3 linked regions of the Callithrix jacchus genome follow. The protein of the gene in region 2 purifies or fractionates together with the protein of the main gene of each other region. This does not show direct contact. Links are inferred from orthologs where the notes say so. Each region holds a gene or a part of one and is shown on either strand. Other genes may lie near its edges.

The links. The genes of interacting proteins can lie anywhere in the genome.
Region 1: the proteins of HIF1A (region 2) and SEPTIN9 purify together in Homo sapiens (affinity purification with western blotting; 4 studies listed by BioGRID and IntAct, with this or other methods). This does not show direct contact. The link is inferred for Callithrix jacchus from reciprocal best matches to the Homo sapiens genes HIF1A and SEPTIN9.
Region 3: the proteins of HIF1A (region 2) and CUL2 purify together in Homo sapiens (affinity purification with western blotting; 7 studies listed by BioGRID and IntAct, with this or other methods). This does not show direct contact. The link is inferred for Callithrix jacchus from reciprocal best matches to the Homo sapiens genes HIF1A and CUL2.

What each region holds. Positions count from the first base shown.
Region 1 is NC_133506.1:133,303,410-133,308,830, reverse strand, and holds part of SEPTIN9 (septin-9), read right to left. Parts: intron 1,869-5,421; coding exon 1,740-1,868; intron 1,004-1,739; coding exon 922-1,003; intron 553-921; coding exon 415-552; intron 1-414.
Region 2 is NC_133509.1:96,451,220-96,456,640, reverse strand, and holds part of HIF1A (hypoxia-inducible factor 1-alpha), read right to left. Parts: coding exon 5,320-5,421; intron 4,368-5,319; coding exon 4,147-4,367; intron 3,103-4,146; coding exon 2,816-3,102; intron 711-2,815; coding exon 588-710; intron 467-587; coding exon 33-466; intron 1-32.
Region 3 is NC_133508.1:34,639,742-34,644,116, reverse strand, and holds the end of CUL2 (cullin-2), read left to right. Parts: intron 1-1,051; coding exon 1,052-1,168; intron 1,169-2,588; coding exon 2,589-2,720; 3' UTR 2,721-3,165; downstream 3,166-4,375.

The DNA.
Region 1 (5,421 bases), on a different chromosome or scaffold from region 2:
CCAGCCCTGGAAGGGGCCCACACTGATCTCTGTGCTTCCCGTCTAAGAACGCGCCAAACCCTCTGAGGAGTCCTGTGAGGCAGGACCGGGAAGAGAAGGTCAGGTCAGCGTGAAGGGTGCTGGCTGGGGGCTCCCACTCTACCTGCCAGAGCCCAGCCCGAGAAGGCAGGACACAGACCACCAGGCTCCAGAACAGCCCAGCCTGACCCTCAGCTCCCCATACGCAGCTGCAGGAAGGGCGCTGGGCAGGACACGGCGTAGGGGTCGGAGTGAGGCTTTGGAGGTGCAGACCCGGCACAGCCCAGCTTGCCCCTCTGTGCCCAGCAGCAGGGCAGACAGCACCGTCTAGCAGTCCCAGGGGACAGAGGGAACCCAGGGCACCCAGCACGAGGACGCTGACAGCGCGGGACGTACGAGTGGCCGGTGGCAGGGATGAAGTAGAGGCAGCAGTGGACGCGGGTGTCCGGGATGCGCTTCTTGCGATTGATGTTGACCTCCTCCTGCAGGTACTTCTCATACTGGTCGTTGATGAACTTCATGATGGGCTGCCAGCTGCATGGGGACGGGCGACGAGTCAGCGAGCACAGGCAGGTCATGCACAACCCAACACCCCACTTTCCAGTGCATGCCCTGGGAGGTCCGGCTTGCTGAGCAGAGACACCACAGCCTTATCCTCGGGCTCCCAAACCAGCCTCCCCGGGCTGGCCTCAGGAGGTGAGCTGAAGACAGCAAGACTCCCCAGGTAATTCTGATTTGGTCCAGAATTTTCAAGCCCCTGAGATGTGCGACATTAGCAGCATATCAGGCCCCAGGAGGTGGGCCCTGCACCCCCGTGGGCCAGGGAGCCCTGAAGCTGACTCTGGGCAGGGTCCAGGGAGCCCTGAAGCTCCTGCTAGTGCTCGTTCCCCGGAGGGGCCTCACCAGTTCTCGTTGTTGATGTGGTCCCCAAACCCTGGTGTGTCAATCACCGTCAGCTTCATCCGGACACCCTTCTCCTCAATATCTGCACAGAGCCACACACACAGAGTCAGAGGGGAGGCGGAGAACCCTCATAGACGCCCTGTGCCTGACTGACCTCAGGTGGGCAGCAACAACAACCAAGGAGACATTGGGACATTAATGGCCTTCCTCAGCCAACTCGGGCACAGGCCGGTGACAGTTCCCTGGGTGCCAGTTGCCTGTGACTTTTGTTGGAAAACTCATTTGCCTGCGGGGTGCTCAGTATGATGGGACCCACAGGGGTGGGGGACACTGACCCCTCACAGCCAGAGCCCCAGAACCAACGTGCTGGAGATGGCAGGCACAGCGAGTCTCTGTCTTGGAGACCCGGAATTGCCTGACTCCGGCACCCTCACATAACACCTGTGCTTCAGGAAGGCAGGGGGATCCTGCACCCCCAGCCTGCCCCCTGCCACTGACTGTGGGTGTTAGACTTGACCCCCTACGCTGTGCTCCAGGAAGGCAGGGACATCCTGCACCCCCCGCATATCCCTGGCCACTGACCGTCCATGATGGAATTGACTCCCTGTCCCATGCTCCAGGAAGGCAGGGACATCCCACACCACCCTGCACCCCAGCCTGCCCCTGGTGACTGACCCCCTGTGCTCCAGGAAGACAGAGGGGTCCCACACCCCCAGCCTTCCCCCAACCATTGACCATGGGTGATGGACTTGACCCCCCAACCTGTGTTCCAGGAAGGCAGGGGCATCCCGCACCCCAGCCCGCCCCCAGCCACTGACCATGTGTGATGGATTTGATCTCGATGGTCTTGGGGATACGCTCCTCCGAGGTGGGCTGCACTGACTTCCGGCTGATTTTGGATTTGAAGAGGGTGTTGATTAAGGTGGATTTACCCAAGCCGCTCTGCCCTAAGGAGAGGATGGGAGGCTGGTCAAGGGCCTCTCCGGAGAGGTCCAGCAGGGTTTGCACGTGGAACCCCTCCCACTCAGGTACAAGGCTCCCCAGACTGAGATTCAGCCGTGCCCCTCTGCCAGGCAGCACCTGGGGATTTCACCCTCGAGCCGGGTGTCCAGTGACTATTAAATCCACACAGGTGGCTCTGGTGACAGCATAACCCTGGCAGGTGAGCCAGGCCTGGCAGAATTGGCATCTCTTGTGCCCCTTGTGCTTTTGGGGCAGGAGGTCTCCTGGAGGCTCAGATTTCAGACAGGACAGATGCCGGCTTGTGGAGGAACCCAGGGCTGCCTGGGTGCACCAGGTGGCTGGGATTTCTGCAGTTCACCAGGGTGGTTGGAACCATAGGCCCGGGCAGCCTCAGGTGTTCAAACTTCTCCTCCCTGATCTGCCGGGGCCTGGGTGAGTCAGTTGACCTCACCATGCCTTAGCGTCCTAATCTGCAAAATGGGATAAACAATCCTTTCCCCCACGGAGCTGATGTGAGCATCAGGCAGGCTTGTGTATGTCATGTGGGGTCTGTGGGGCCCATGTGCTAGGGAGTGCTGGCCTGCAGGGCAGTGCAACTTAAGGGACAGCACCCGTGTGTGCGGACAGCCAGTCCACAAGTGACCAAGACAAACGAGGATGAGGAAGTGGCATTCACATGCAACGCAACACACACAACTCACTGCAAACATACCTCTCATACATACCTCACACACAACTCTCACAACACACACAAACAACCCACACATAACACGCACATCCCCCAGACTCAGAGCCCCATTGCTTTACCCTGCACAGAGCTGCCTTTGGCTTCGCCAGCAAGCACACAACAAAAACACCCCAGGTCAAGTGTGGTGGCTCACGCCTGTAGTCCCAACACTCTGGGAGGCCAAGGCAGGAAGACTGCTTGAGTCCAGAAGTTCAAGACTAGCCTGGGCGACATAGCGGGACCCCGTCTCTACATAAAAATGTAAAAATTAGCTGGGTGTAGTGGTGAGCACCTATACTTCCAGCTACACAGGAGGCTGAAGTGGGAGAATTGCTTGAGCCCAAGAGTGCAATGATCCTGTAGTGAGCTAGGATCATTGTCACTCCAGAGTGACACCCATTCTCTTAAAAACAAAAACTGGCTGGGCACCACTCACACCTATAATCCCAGCACTTTGGGAGGCCAAGGAGGGTGGATCACTTGAGGTCAGGAGTTTGAGACCAGCCTGGCCAATATGGTGAAACCCCATCTCTACCAAAAAATACAAAAATTAGCCAGGCATGGGGGCGCGTATCTGAGGCATGAGAATCACTTGAACCTGGGAGGTGGAAGTTGCAGTGAGCCAAGACCAGGCCACTACACTCCAGCCTGGGCAACAGTGAGACCCTGTCTCAAAAAAACAAAACACAACAAAAAACAAAAAACATCCTAAATTACACTGATGTTCTGACTTTGAACACCTTTCAGGGAAAAGTGTGGGCTCCCAGGAGGACAGAGGCTGGTGCTGGGAATCCCCCCCAGCTGAACAGTTTAGCTGCCTGAGGACAGACATTCCTCATCCATCTCCCTCTTTCCACCAAGTCTGTGTCCTGGCCAAGCTCAGGTCAGGAGTTATGTCAATGTTCCAGCCACAACACCTTAGATCTAGGAGATGGCACTGGGATACTTTAAGGTGTGTCCCTTTATTATTGGACAGACATTCCTCATCCATCTCCCTCTTTCCACCAAGTCTGTGTCCTGGCCAAGCTCAGGTCAGGAGTTATGTCAATGTTCCAGCCACAACACCTTAGATCTAGGAGATGGCACTGGGATACTTTAAGGTGTGTCCCTTTATTATTGGACAGACATTCCTCATCTATCTCCCTCTTTCCACCAAGTCTGTGTCCTGGCCAAGCTCAGGTCAGGAGTTATGTCAATGTTCCAGCCACAACACCTTAGATTTAGGAGATGGCACTGGGATACTTTAAGGTGTGTCCCTTTATTATTGTTACTTTTATTATTATCATCACCATCACAGCACCACCGTTATCCCCATACCCTCATCACTATCACCCCCATCACCATCACTACTACCGTTACACCACCATTACCACCACCATCACTGCTATCAGCACCAGCACCATCACCCCATCACCACTACCATCCACCACTATCACCATCACCACCATCATCCCCATCACCCTCATCATCATCACTATCACCCCCATCACCATCACTACTACCGTTACACCACCATTACCCCATCACTGCTATCAGCACCACCGCCATGACCCCATCACCACTACCATCCACCACTATCACCATCACAATCACCACCATGACCCCATCACCACTACCATCCCACCACTATCACCATCACAATCACCACCATCATCCCCATCACCCTCATCATCCTCATCACTATCACCCCCATCACCGTCACTACCATCACCCCCACTAACACCGCCATCACCGCTATCACCACCACCACCATGACCCCATCACCACTACCATCCCACCACTATCACCATCACTATCACCACCATCACCCTCATCATCACTATCACCCCCATCACCATCACTACCATCACCCCCACTAACACCGCCATCACCGCTATCACCACCACCACCACCCCATCACCAATACCATCCACCACTATCACCAACACCACCATCACCCCCATCACCACTACCATCCACCACTATCACCATCACCACCATCACCCCCATCACCACTACCATCCCACCACTGTGACCATCACCACCACCATCACCCACATCACCACCATCACCATCACTACTGCCATCATCTCCCCCATTAACACCACCACCACCACCATCACCCACATCACCATCATCACCACCATCACCCACATCACCACTACCATCCCACCACTATCATCATCACCACCACCATCATCCCCATCACCACTACCATCCACCACTATCATCATCACCACCATCACCCTCATCATCACTATCACCCCATCACCATCACTACCATCACCCCCACTAACACCGCCATCACCGCTATCACCACCACCACCACCCCATCACCAATACCATCCACCACTATCACCAACACCACCATCACCCCCATCACCACTACCATCCACCACTATCACCATCACCACCATCACCCCATCACCACTACCATCCCACCACTATGACCATCACCACCATCACCCACATCACCACCATCACCATCACCATCACTACTGCCATCATCTCCCCCATTAACACCATCACCACCACCATCACCCACATCACCATCATCACCACCATCACCCACATCACCACTACCATCCCACCACTATGACCATCACCACCACCATCATCCCCATCACCACCATCACCATCACTACTGCCATCATCTCCCCCATTAACACCACCACCACCACATCACCCACATCACCATCATCACCACCATCACCCACATCACCACTACCATCCCACCACTATGACCATCACCACCACCATCATCCCCATCATCTCCACTATCACCATCACCCCATCACCCTGACCATCATCCTCATCACTACCACCATCAC
Region 2 (5,421 bases):
AGAGCTATAACTTGAATGTTACACATAAATACCTTTGACTCAAAGCGACAGATAACACGTTAGGGCTTCTTGGATGAGACTTTTCTGTCTGTTCTATGACTCCTTTTCCTGCTCTGTTTGGTGAGGCTGTCCGACTTTGAGTATCTCTATATGGTGATGATGTGGCACTAGTAGTTTCTTTATGTATGTGGGTAGGAGATGGAGATGCAATCAATATTTTAATGTCTTCCATACGGTCTTTTGTCACTGTTTTTAATTCATCAGTGGTGGCAGTGGTAGTGGTGGCATTAGAAGTAAGTTCTTGTATCTGAGTCTGCTGGAATACTGTAACTGTGCTCTGAGGGCTTGCGCTTTCAGGGCTTGCAGAACTGCTTTCTAACGGTGACAACTGATCGAAGGAACGTAACTGAAAGTCATCATCCATTGGGATATAGGGAGCTAACATCTCCAAGTCTAAATCGGTGTCCTTTAAAACAGCAAATACATGAGTTTTTACAATGGCCACACTTTATATATAAAAAACAAGTTAAAGTCACTTCAGAATAAAAATTAATGAAATTTAATATAAAACAAATAAGTTCATTTACCTGAGTAGAAAATGGGTTCTTCGCTTCTGTGTCTTCAGCAAAAAGTTTTTCTACCAATTCCAACTTGAATTCATTGACCATATCACTGTCCACATAAAAACAATATTCACTGGGACTGTTAGGCTGTAAAGAGAATTAAATATATTCAGTTTTTCCTGAAGAAGCCTCCATATACTTTGCTAGTTGTCAGAATTTTCAAACTAGATCTCAGGAAAAAACAAAAAACACACAACCAAATCCATCATGTTTATCAAATTTTATCTAACGAGGCCGGCATGGTTGTCCATGCCTGTAATCCCAGCACTGGGAGGCTGAGGCAGGTGGATCATGAGGTGAGGAGATCAAGACCATCCTGGCCAAAATAGTGAAACCCTGTCTCTACTTAAAATACAAAAATTAGCTGGGTATGCTGGAACACGCCTATAGTCCCAGCTACTCAGGAGGCTAAAGCTTGAACCCAGGAGGCCGAGGTTGCAGTGAGCCGAGATCATACCACTGCACTCCAGCCTGGGCAACTGAGTGAGACTCCGTCTCAAAAAAAATTTTAAAAGTTTAGTGAAAAAAATGACATTTTGAAGCTTATACTGGTAACTAATTTTGCCAATGTACGTATTTCTGACTATGTAATATAACATCATTTTTAAAATTAAAAGAAACATCTTATTCTAAAGAATAAAACCAATTTTTGGTAATTTACATCCCACAATGGTACCTAACTGACCAATTAACTAGATGCTACATTCTCTGGAATTTACCTTTGAAATGAGAAGGCACACTTCTATGGTGATTGAGCTACCTAAAAATCTCACAGCTACAGTTGAGGGTAGGAGTAGAGACTTAAGTGCTTTTACCTGCATACACCTGAATGAATATACATTATTACTATTTTAAGAGTTCTGGGCAAGAATTTTAACAAAAAACTATAGCTGTGTATTCTAAACAAGGAATTTTGCTTTCATCATTCTATTATTTTTGTTAGACAAAAACCAAAATGAATCAAACATTTTTTTTGTGCTAGGTAAATTAAGCAAGCAGGGCATAGGAGATACTCCTATACCAGAAGGCTATGAGATCAAATCTCCTACTCTTAGCTTGCCAGTTTTATTCAAATATTTAATGTAGAATTATTTACCACTTATTAAAGCTGATTTATGCTTCATTTATCAAGTTATAGTGTTCAGAGCTAAGTTACCCTACTCCTGAGCATATTTTTAAATGTAGGAAGTCCTGAAATGGAATCATTCTAGATTTAGAAATAGAGCCCTGTGTGACAGCTCTAGTCTTGGTCAGTCCAGCCTTTAAAGATTATTTTTGTTGTGTTTATAGGACAATTAATATCAAGACAGATCTAGAATAAAACAGACCAGTTACTAAGTATTTAATTTATGTAAGACTTGTTACTTTCATGTTATACTTAAAGTTTCAAAATAGTGATGGAAACTGAACTAAATTGGGCAAAGAATTTATAAGGTCCTTTCCCATGTAAACCCTGTTAAGCCTATTGTTACCAGACAGTTCTCCAACTTAAAGGTGTAATGGGCCAGGGATGGTAGCTCACACCTGTAATCCTAGTACTTTGGGAGGCCAAGATTGGATGATCGCTTAAGCTCAGGAGCTTACAAACAGCCTGGGCAACATAGTGAGAACCCCGACTCTACAGGGAAAAAAAAGGGTTAAAAAATTAGGCATGGTGGTGTGGGCCTGTAGTCTCAGCTACTCGAGAGGCTGAGGTGGGAAAATCACTTGAGCCTGGGAGGCTGAGGCTGCAGTGGGCTGTGATTGCACCACTGCACTCCAGCCTGAGTGACAGTGAGACTCTGTCTCAAAAAATAAAAACAACAACCCACAATAAAACAAAACAAACAAAAAAATCAAGGTAACAGGTATAGGCTGTGGCTACCTTGAGCACACTTAGTCCTAGTCTAAAATGTCCAAATTCAAGACGTTTTTGTCCTACTGATATAAATAATAAGAAACAATGTATGTTTCACCTTTTGGTTTATATTATGCTAGTTTCTTCCCAAGTTCCTATCTTTGAGCTTAAAACATGTGCTGAGGTCTAAGTTAAGCAATAGCTCTTGCAATAATTTTAAAGTGCTAAAATTCAAACACACACACAAATATAATTTGTGGTTCAAATTAGTGTTTCAATCAAACTTATAATTATATACAATCTTGAATGTTAAAATCTGAAAGTTGTCCCTTTCTGATTATATCATGACACCTACCTCAGGTGAACTTTGTCTAGTGCTTCCATCAGAAGGACTGGGTGGCTGATCTTGAATCTGGGGCATGGTAAAAGAAAGTTCCAGTGACTCTGGATTTGGTTCTAATTTTAATGCAACTTCTTGATTCAGTGCAGGGTCAGCACTACTTCGAAGTGGCTTTGGAGTTTCAGAGGTGGCTAATGGAGACATTGACAAATTTATGTTCTGTAATTTTTCATTGGATGAGGGGAGCATTACATCATTATACAATGGTACTTCCTCAAGTTGCTGGTCATCAGTTTCTGTGTCTGCAAGGAAAAAATATGAGTCAATATAAAGTATACAAATATTTTTATTTGAGCAAGACAGAGTCTTGCTCTGTTGCCCAGGATGGAGTACAGTGACACAATCTTGGCTCACTGAACCTCTGACTCCTGGGTTCAAGCAATTCTCCTGCCTCAACCTCCCGAGTAGTAGCTGGGATTACAAACACGCACCACCATACCCAGCTAATTTTTTTATTTTTAGTAGAGACAGCTTTTCACCATGGTGGCCGGGCTGGTCTCAAACTCCTAACCTTAAGTGATCTACCTGTCTTGGCCTTCTAAAGTACTAGGATTACAGGCGTGAGGCACCACACCCGGCCACGAGGATTTTAACATACAAAAAATGTATACAATTTATCAAACAACAAAATGTTACCAAATTTTCTTTCATCAGGAAGTTAACAAATATTATAGTATAATCTTAAATCTGGATTATCTTTCCAATCCACTATTGATACCTCCTCTTAATCTGTATGGCATAAAAGACAAAAGGCAATACTAACCATTTTATATATTAAAATGTTCTCTACTTTAAAATTGCAGTTTTCATCTTCAATGTTTGATGTTATGATATGACTTTTTTTTTTTTGGTCAATCAATGAGAGCTTGTTATGTTGCTCAGGTTGGCCTTGAACTCATAGCCTCACCTCCTCGAGCGCCAGGACAACTGGCCGGAGCCATCGTGGCTCCCCATATGATATGACTATTTATCCTTTAATGCAACAATGCCTACTTCCATATAACTCGCTAAACTAGAGAAAATCTGACAGCAGGATACAGAAATAGCAGAGTAGCCAGGAAAAATTTGTGGGAAGAATAAATGCCTTAAGGACACTTTAAAATACAATTTCCAACAATATAAAAAAAAGCACGAATGGTAAGAAATTACAGGGGAAAAATATTTAATCAAACCAACATAATAGCCTTCAATGTCCAAATGATTACCAACAAAAAACGTCAAAGTAACATTTAGTTGAAATGAGGCATGCAGCAAAAGTTTAGGGAATTAACAAAATAATTACTCACCATTGCTGCCAAAATCTAAAGATATGATTGTGTCTCCAGCAGCTGGGGCCAGCAAAGTTAAAGCATCAGGTTCCTTCTTAAGTTTATCAAAGAGGCTACTTGTATCTTCTGATTCAACTTTGGTGAATAGCTGAGTCATTTTCATATCTGAAGATTCAACCGGTTTAAGGACACATTCTGTTTGTTGAAGGGAGAAAATCAAGTCGTGCTGAATAATACCACTGTCAAAACAAGAGAAATTAGTAATTCATAAATGAGCACTTGACACAATGACGGGAAGGGGAACTGTGAAACGGTCTCTTAAGAAATTCTGCTTTACGGACAGGAACATTTTAAGATTTCTTGAGATGCATGATCTCTCAGGCACAATTTGTCACATTTAGGGTTTTAAAATGCTAATATTAAATGAAGACCCAATAAAATTCGCAGTATGCAGCCATAAAAAAAGAATGAAATCATGTCCTATACAGCAACATGGATGCAGCTGGAGACCATTATCCTAAGTGAAATAATGGAGAAACAGAAAACCAAATGCTGCATGTTCTCACTTGTAAGTGGGAGCTAAACATTGGGTTACTTGTAGACATAAAGATGGCATCAATAGACACTGAGGACTTCCAGGGGAGAGGGGCAAGGGTTGTTGAACAGCTGTTGGGCATTATGCTCACTATCTGGGTGACAGGATCAATTGTACCACAAACCTCAGTATCACATGATATACCCATGTAACCTATGCATGTATCCCCTGAATAAAAAATAAAAGCTGAAATTTAAAAAAAAAACCTCCCCATACAAGATATTTTGACTAATTTCAGTTAAGAATTTCAGATGTCCAGGGTGGCTCATGCCTATAATCCCAGCACTTTGGGAGGCTGAGGTGGGTGAATTCCTTGGGCCTGGGAGTTCAAGACCAGCTTGGCCACCACGGCAAAACCCGTCTCTACAGGGCACAAAAATGGCTTGAGTCTGGGAGGTGAAGGCTGCAGTGAACCAAGATTGCACCACTGCACTCTAGCCTGGGCGACTTAGGTCAGAGTACAGAAAATAATGGTAGAAATGTGAAAGTAAAATAAAATTTAGTTAATATTTATAATCTTATCTTCCTATAAATGAACAGAGTATCCAAAAAGAATTACTGTTTGTTTCCCAAAAATGTTTATTTCTCAAACTTACCTCACAACATAATTTACACACACAATGCACTGTGGTTGAGAGTTCTTGGTGTTATATATGACAGTTGCTTGAGTTTCAACCCAGACATATCCACCTCTTTTG
Region 3 (4,375 bases), on a different chromosome or scaffold from region 2:
ACTCCGTCTCAAAAAAAAATGCAGATTGTGATCTACTGGGTGTGGAATGAGGTCTTGACTCCTGACAGGCCAATGTGAGTTGGGGACTTCTGCTCTTCGTTCTTTTGACTCAGCAGTGATTGTTGCTTTGGTCTGCGATAGACTGTTTCTCTATCACTTAGGCTTCCTGATTGCCAACCGTGTGCAGTCGTGGGGCTGGTGCAGGATGTGAAGCTAATATAAGGCGTTAGACTCTCTCCACAAACTTAATTCCCCATGGTGGAGACAAATATTAATTTCCATTTACTTTGAAACCTAAAATGGTCAAGATTCCATTTTCCTCTAGGCTAATAAATAATAATTTGAAGTATATAGTGGTATTTTGTCTTTGAAAAGCTGTGAGGAGATCCTGTTAATGTGGCATGGCCTGCTTCTGTGCCCTGCTTCTCCTGTGTTTCTTGAGCTCCGTGGCTCCATAGAGATAGGCCCCATCTCCTGGCTTCTCTGCTTGAGCCAAATAAAATGGCACTTCTCAGCTCTTCCTTTGAAGCCTGATCCGGTATGCATTTGGAGCTAATTACTACAGTTGACACAACTCCATCTAAAAGCATCGTGATACAGATTCTGTAATCACTGAAAAGAAAATGATCTTGCAGATTACTACTGTGTCCTCCTTTATCGCCTCTTTTCCTTAACAGTATAGTTTATAATAATGTAAATTTTTTCTAATGACTTTCAGCTTTAACCCTAGAAACTATAGATGTTTTCTCAGTGGTTATGTGATATTAACACAACATAACTGTATAATTTGCTCACTATTGATTACAAATTTATCATTGTGGCACATGCCTGTAATCCCAGCTGCCCAGGAGGCTGAGGCATAAGAATCACTTGAATCCGGGAGGTGGAAGTTGCTGTGAGCCAAGATCGCGTCACTGCACTCCAGCCTGGACGACAGAGGGAGACCCTGCCTCAAAAAAAAAAAAATTTATTTGCACTCACTGATAAAATGAATTTAAAACACATTCAGTGACTTGACATCTTGTTCGCTCTTTTTTCTTCTGTAAAACAGGAAATGGAGCAGACTAGAAGTGCTGTCGATGAGGACCGGAAAATGTATCTCCAAGCTGCTATAGTTCGTATCATGAAAGCACGAAAAGTGCTTCGGCACAATGCCCTTATTCAAGAGGTAAAAGGAGGGCAGTCCTCAGGGCTTCTTAGGGTAGAGGGCATTGTCGGTGTACAGAGTCAGTCTCTTTCTTCTTAAAGAGGATACAGAAATAAACTGATCCTCAAGTAGCATAAAGAAATGTTTCATACTTAGAATCGTACTTGCTTCCAGTTTCAATATTAAATTCAGATTTGCAGGCTAGGCACAGTGGCTTGTGCCTGTAATCCTTTGTTGTTGTTGTTGTTGTTGTTGTTGTTGTTGTTGTTGTTGTTGTTGAGACAGAGCCTTGCTCTGTCGCCCAGGATGGAGTACAGTGGCATGATCTTGGCTCACTGCAACCTCTGCCTCCTGGATTCAAGTGATTCTCCTGCCTCAGCCTCCCGAGTAGCTTGGAATACAGGCATGCGTCTGGCTAATTTTCGTATTTTTATATTTTTGCATTTTCAGTAGAGATGGGGTTTTACCGTGGTGGCCAGGCTGCTCTTGAACTCCTGATATCGGGTGATCCACCCACTTCAGCCTCCCAAAGTGTGGGATTACAGGCGTGAGCCACCATGCCTGGTGAACACCTGTAATCTGAATGCCTTGTTAGGCCAAGACAGGAGGATCGGTTGAGTCCAGGAGTTTTCGACCAGCCTGGGCAACGTAGAGAGACCCCATCTCACCAAAAAATATTTTAAGAATTAGCCAGCTGTGTTGGCATACACCTGAAGTTCCAGCTACTTGGGAGGCTGAGGTGGGAGGATTGCTTGAGCCCAAGGAATTGAGCCTGGGTGACACAGTGAGATGCTATCTTGAATAATAATAAATTCATATTTGCTTTGGCTTTATTTTAGAGCTCTAAAACTTGCCAGTTCATTGAGTCTTCTGTTCAGTTATTGAAGGAAGTTGACACATCAGATACTCATTCATTCCATAAATATCTGAGCCTACCATATGATAGATGGCCAGGCTGGTCACTGGGTTGTAGTACAGAGCAGCTGAAGATGTGGCAGGCCCTTTTAGAGTTTACAGTTTAATGGGGAAGAATTATGTTATTGAAATAGTACACAAATAAATATAAAATTACATTAGCATGCCCTGAAGGAAAGGTACACAGTACCTTGAGAATGTATTTAAATGTCCTGACCTAGGGGATGCTGGGGAAAACTTTCTGGAGAAAGTGGTGTTTGAACTAAGAGCTGAGAGTTGAGTGACAGTTAAATAGAAGCTTGGGGTTGTGTGTGAGTATTTAATGTTTATTGTTTCACTTAATTATGTATCATTATTAGATTTTGCTGTATCCATTTTCCATATTTTAGTTCCTATTTTCATACTTCATTCTGCCTGTTTGCTGAAATTTCAGTGCATTTGAGGCACTTTAAACGGATTGGTTAAAAGTCATTACTTACAGCTGAAGAACGGGCAGTAGTTTGACTTCCACGTCTCTCTTCCACAGGTGATTAGCCAGTCAAGAGCTAGGTTTAATCCCAGTATCAGCATGATTAAGAAGTGTATTGAAGTTCTGATAGACAAACAGTACATCGAACGCAGCCAGGCGTCGGCAGATGAATACAGCTACGTCGCGTGATGTCGCTCTCCTCCAGCGTGGTGTGAGAAGATCATTGCCATCACCATTTGGTGTGTTCCTGTGGGAAAAGCAGGCCTGTGCCTCCATAATTTGGTCATTTGGCAGCCCCTGTTTTCTGCTGTTTACAACATCACCAGTGCCACGTCATGAGCGTCAAAGAAAATGCCTAGAGATATTTCAAGCTCATGTCATGATGACATTTCTTAAAACTTTCTTAAAAGAATGAGTGAAGTATTGCTGGAATGTGGAAAGTCGGTTGGGTACCATGCTTTTTCTCCCCTTCACGTTTGCAGTTGATGTGTTTTTTTTTTTTTTTAATGTATCTTAAAGGACATAAAATTTAAAAACTTAAATATTGTAATATGACAGATAACCTAATAATTGTATCTACATTAAAATGACAAACATGATACTGCTGCTTGTCAAATAAAAAAAAATAAAGAAATAGAATGCCTTTTTTATGTGAATGGAGTATCAGGTTGACCACAAAATATATAGAGTCAAAGCAGCTAATGGGCATCTTTAGTTGCATTTTTATCTGAATGGTTTAGTTTACTTGTACTTCTATTTAAATCCTACATGAAAAATGTCTAGATTATTGTTCTTGAATGCACTGGCCTGCATTCAGCATAAAGAATGCTTTATTTTTATGGATTCGATATATTGGAGCTAAGCATTTTGAATCTTGAAGATGTAATTTCATCGGCAGTTTCTGGTGGTGTGCTACCCTGCAGACAACGCAGAGTGTGAGCAGGATTCATGGTGACCTCAGTTCTGGCACAGAGAGAGCTTTTCATTCAGAAGTTGTCTTTCTTCTGTTGCATAATGCATTAATTCTAGCATAGACTAACATCCTAGCTCTATGGCTTTCCTGAGTCTTAGGAGATCCTGTGATACCAATGTATTCCTTCCATATGCCTTCCCTACCTGTTACCCTTACAACCCTCCTCAGACAGTTTATATACTAGAGTCACTCCCATCAGTCACAGATATGCTTAGCAATGCATAACCTAAATATCTTTTTTTAAAATAATTTTACATTGCACCCAGTGCCACTTATATATAAATCTCATTATTTTGTTTATTACATATATGTATCAACAGCAGTGTCAGAATACTGCAATCTATTATATTTATTGTCTGTCCACACCATCACCACCACCACACCCCTCTTCCCTCAACACACAAACAAATTTTTTTGTTTTTTTTAAAGTAAGAGACAGGATTTTGCCATGTTTCCCAGGCTAGTTTAGAACTCCTGGCCTCAAGCAATCCTGTCTCTGTCTCCCAAAGTGCTGGGATTACAAGCATGAGCCACTGTGTCCGTTGAACATTCAGTTTTTAAAATACGGAATATTTAAAAGCAAATCACATAAATTGTTTCACTTTTAATACTTCAGTTTTTATCTTGAACAAATAAGGCCTTTAAAAAATCCACAGTGACATTATTACTCCTAACAAAAACAATAATTAACTTAGTATTATCTAATATGTGGTTCATATTTAAATTTCTTATCATTTCGAAATGGATTTTACAATTGGTTTATTCAATTGCATTTTTTTCTAACTCATGTCTCTTAAGTGTTTTAAAAATCTACTGAACTTACAATGACTTCTATACTGTATTTCTCATTTTACCTTTCTTCCAAAGGAGG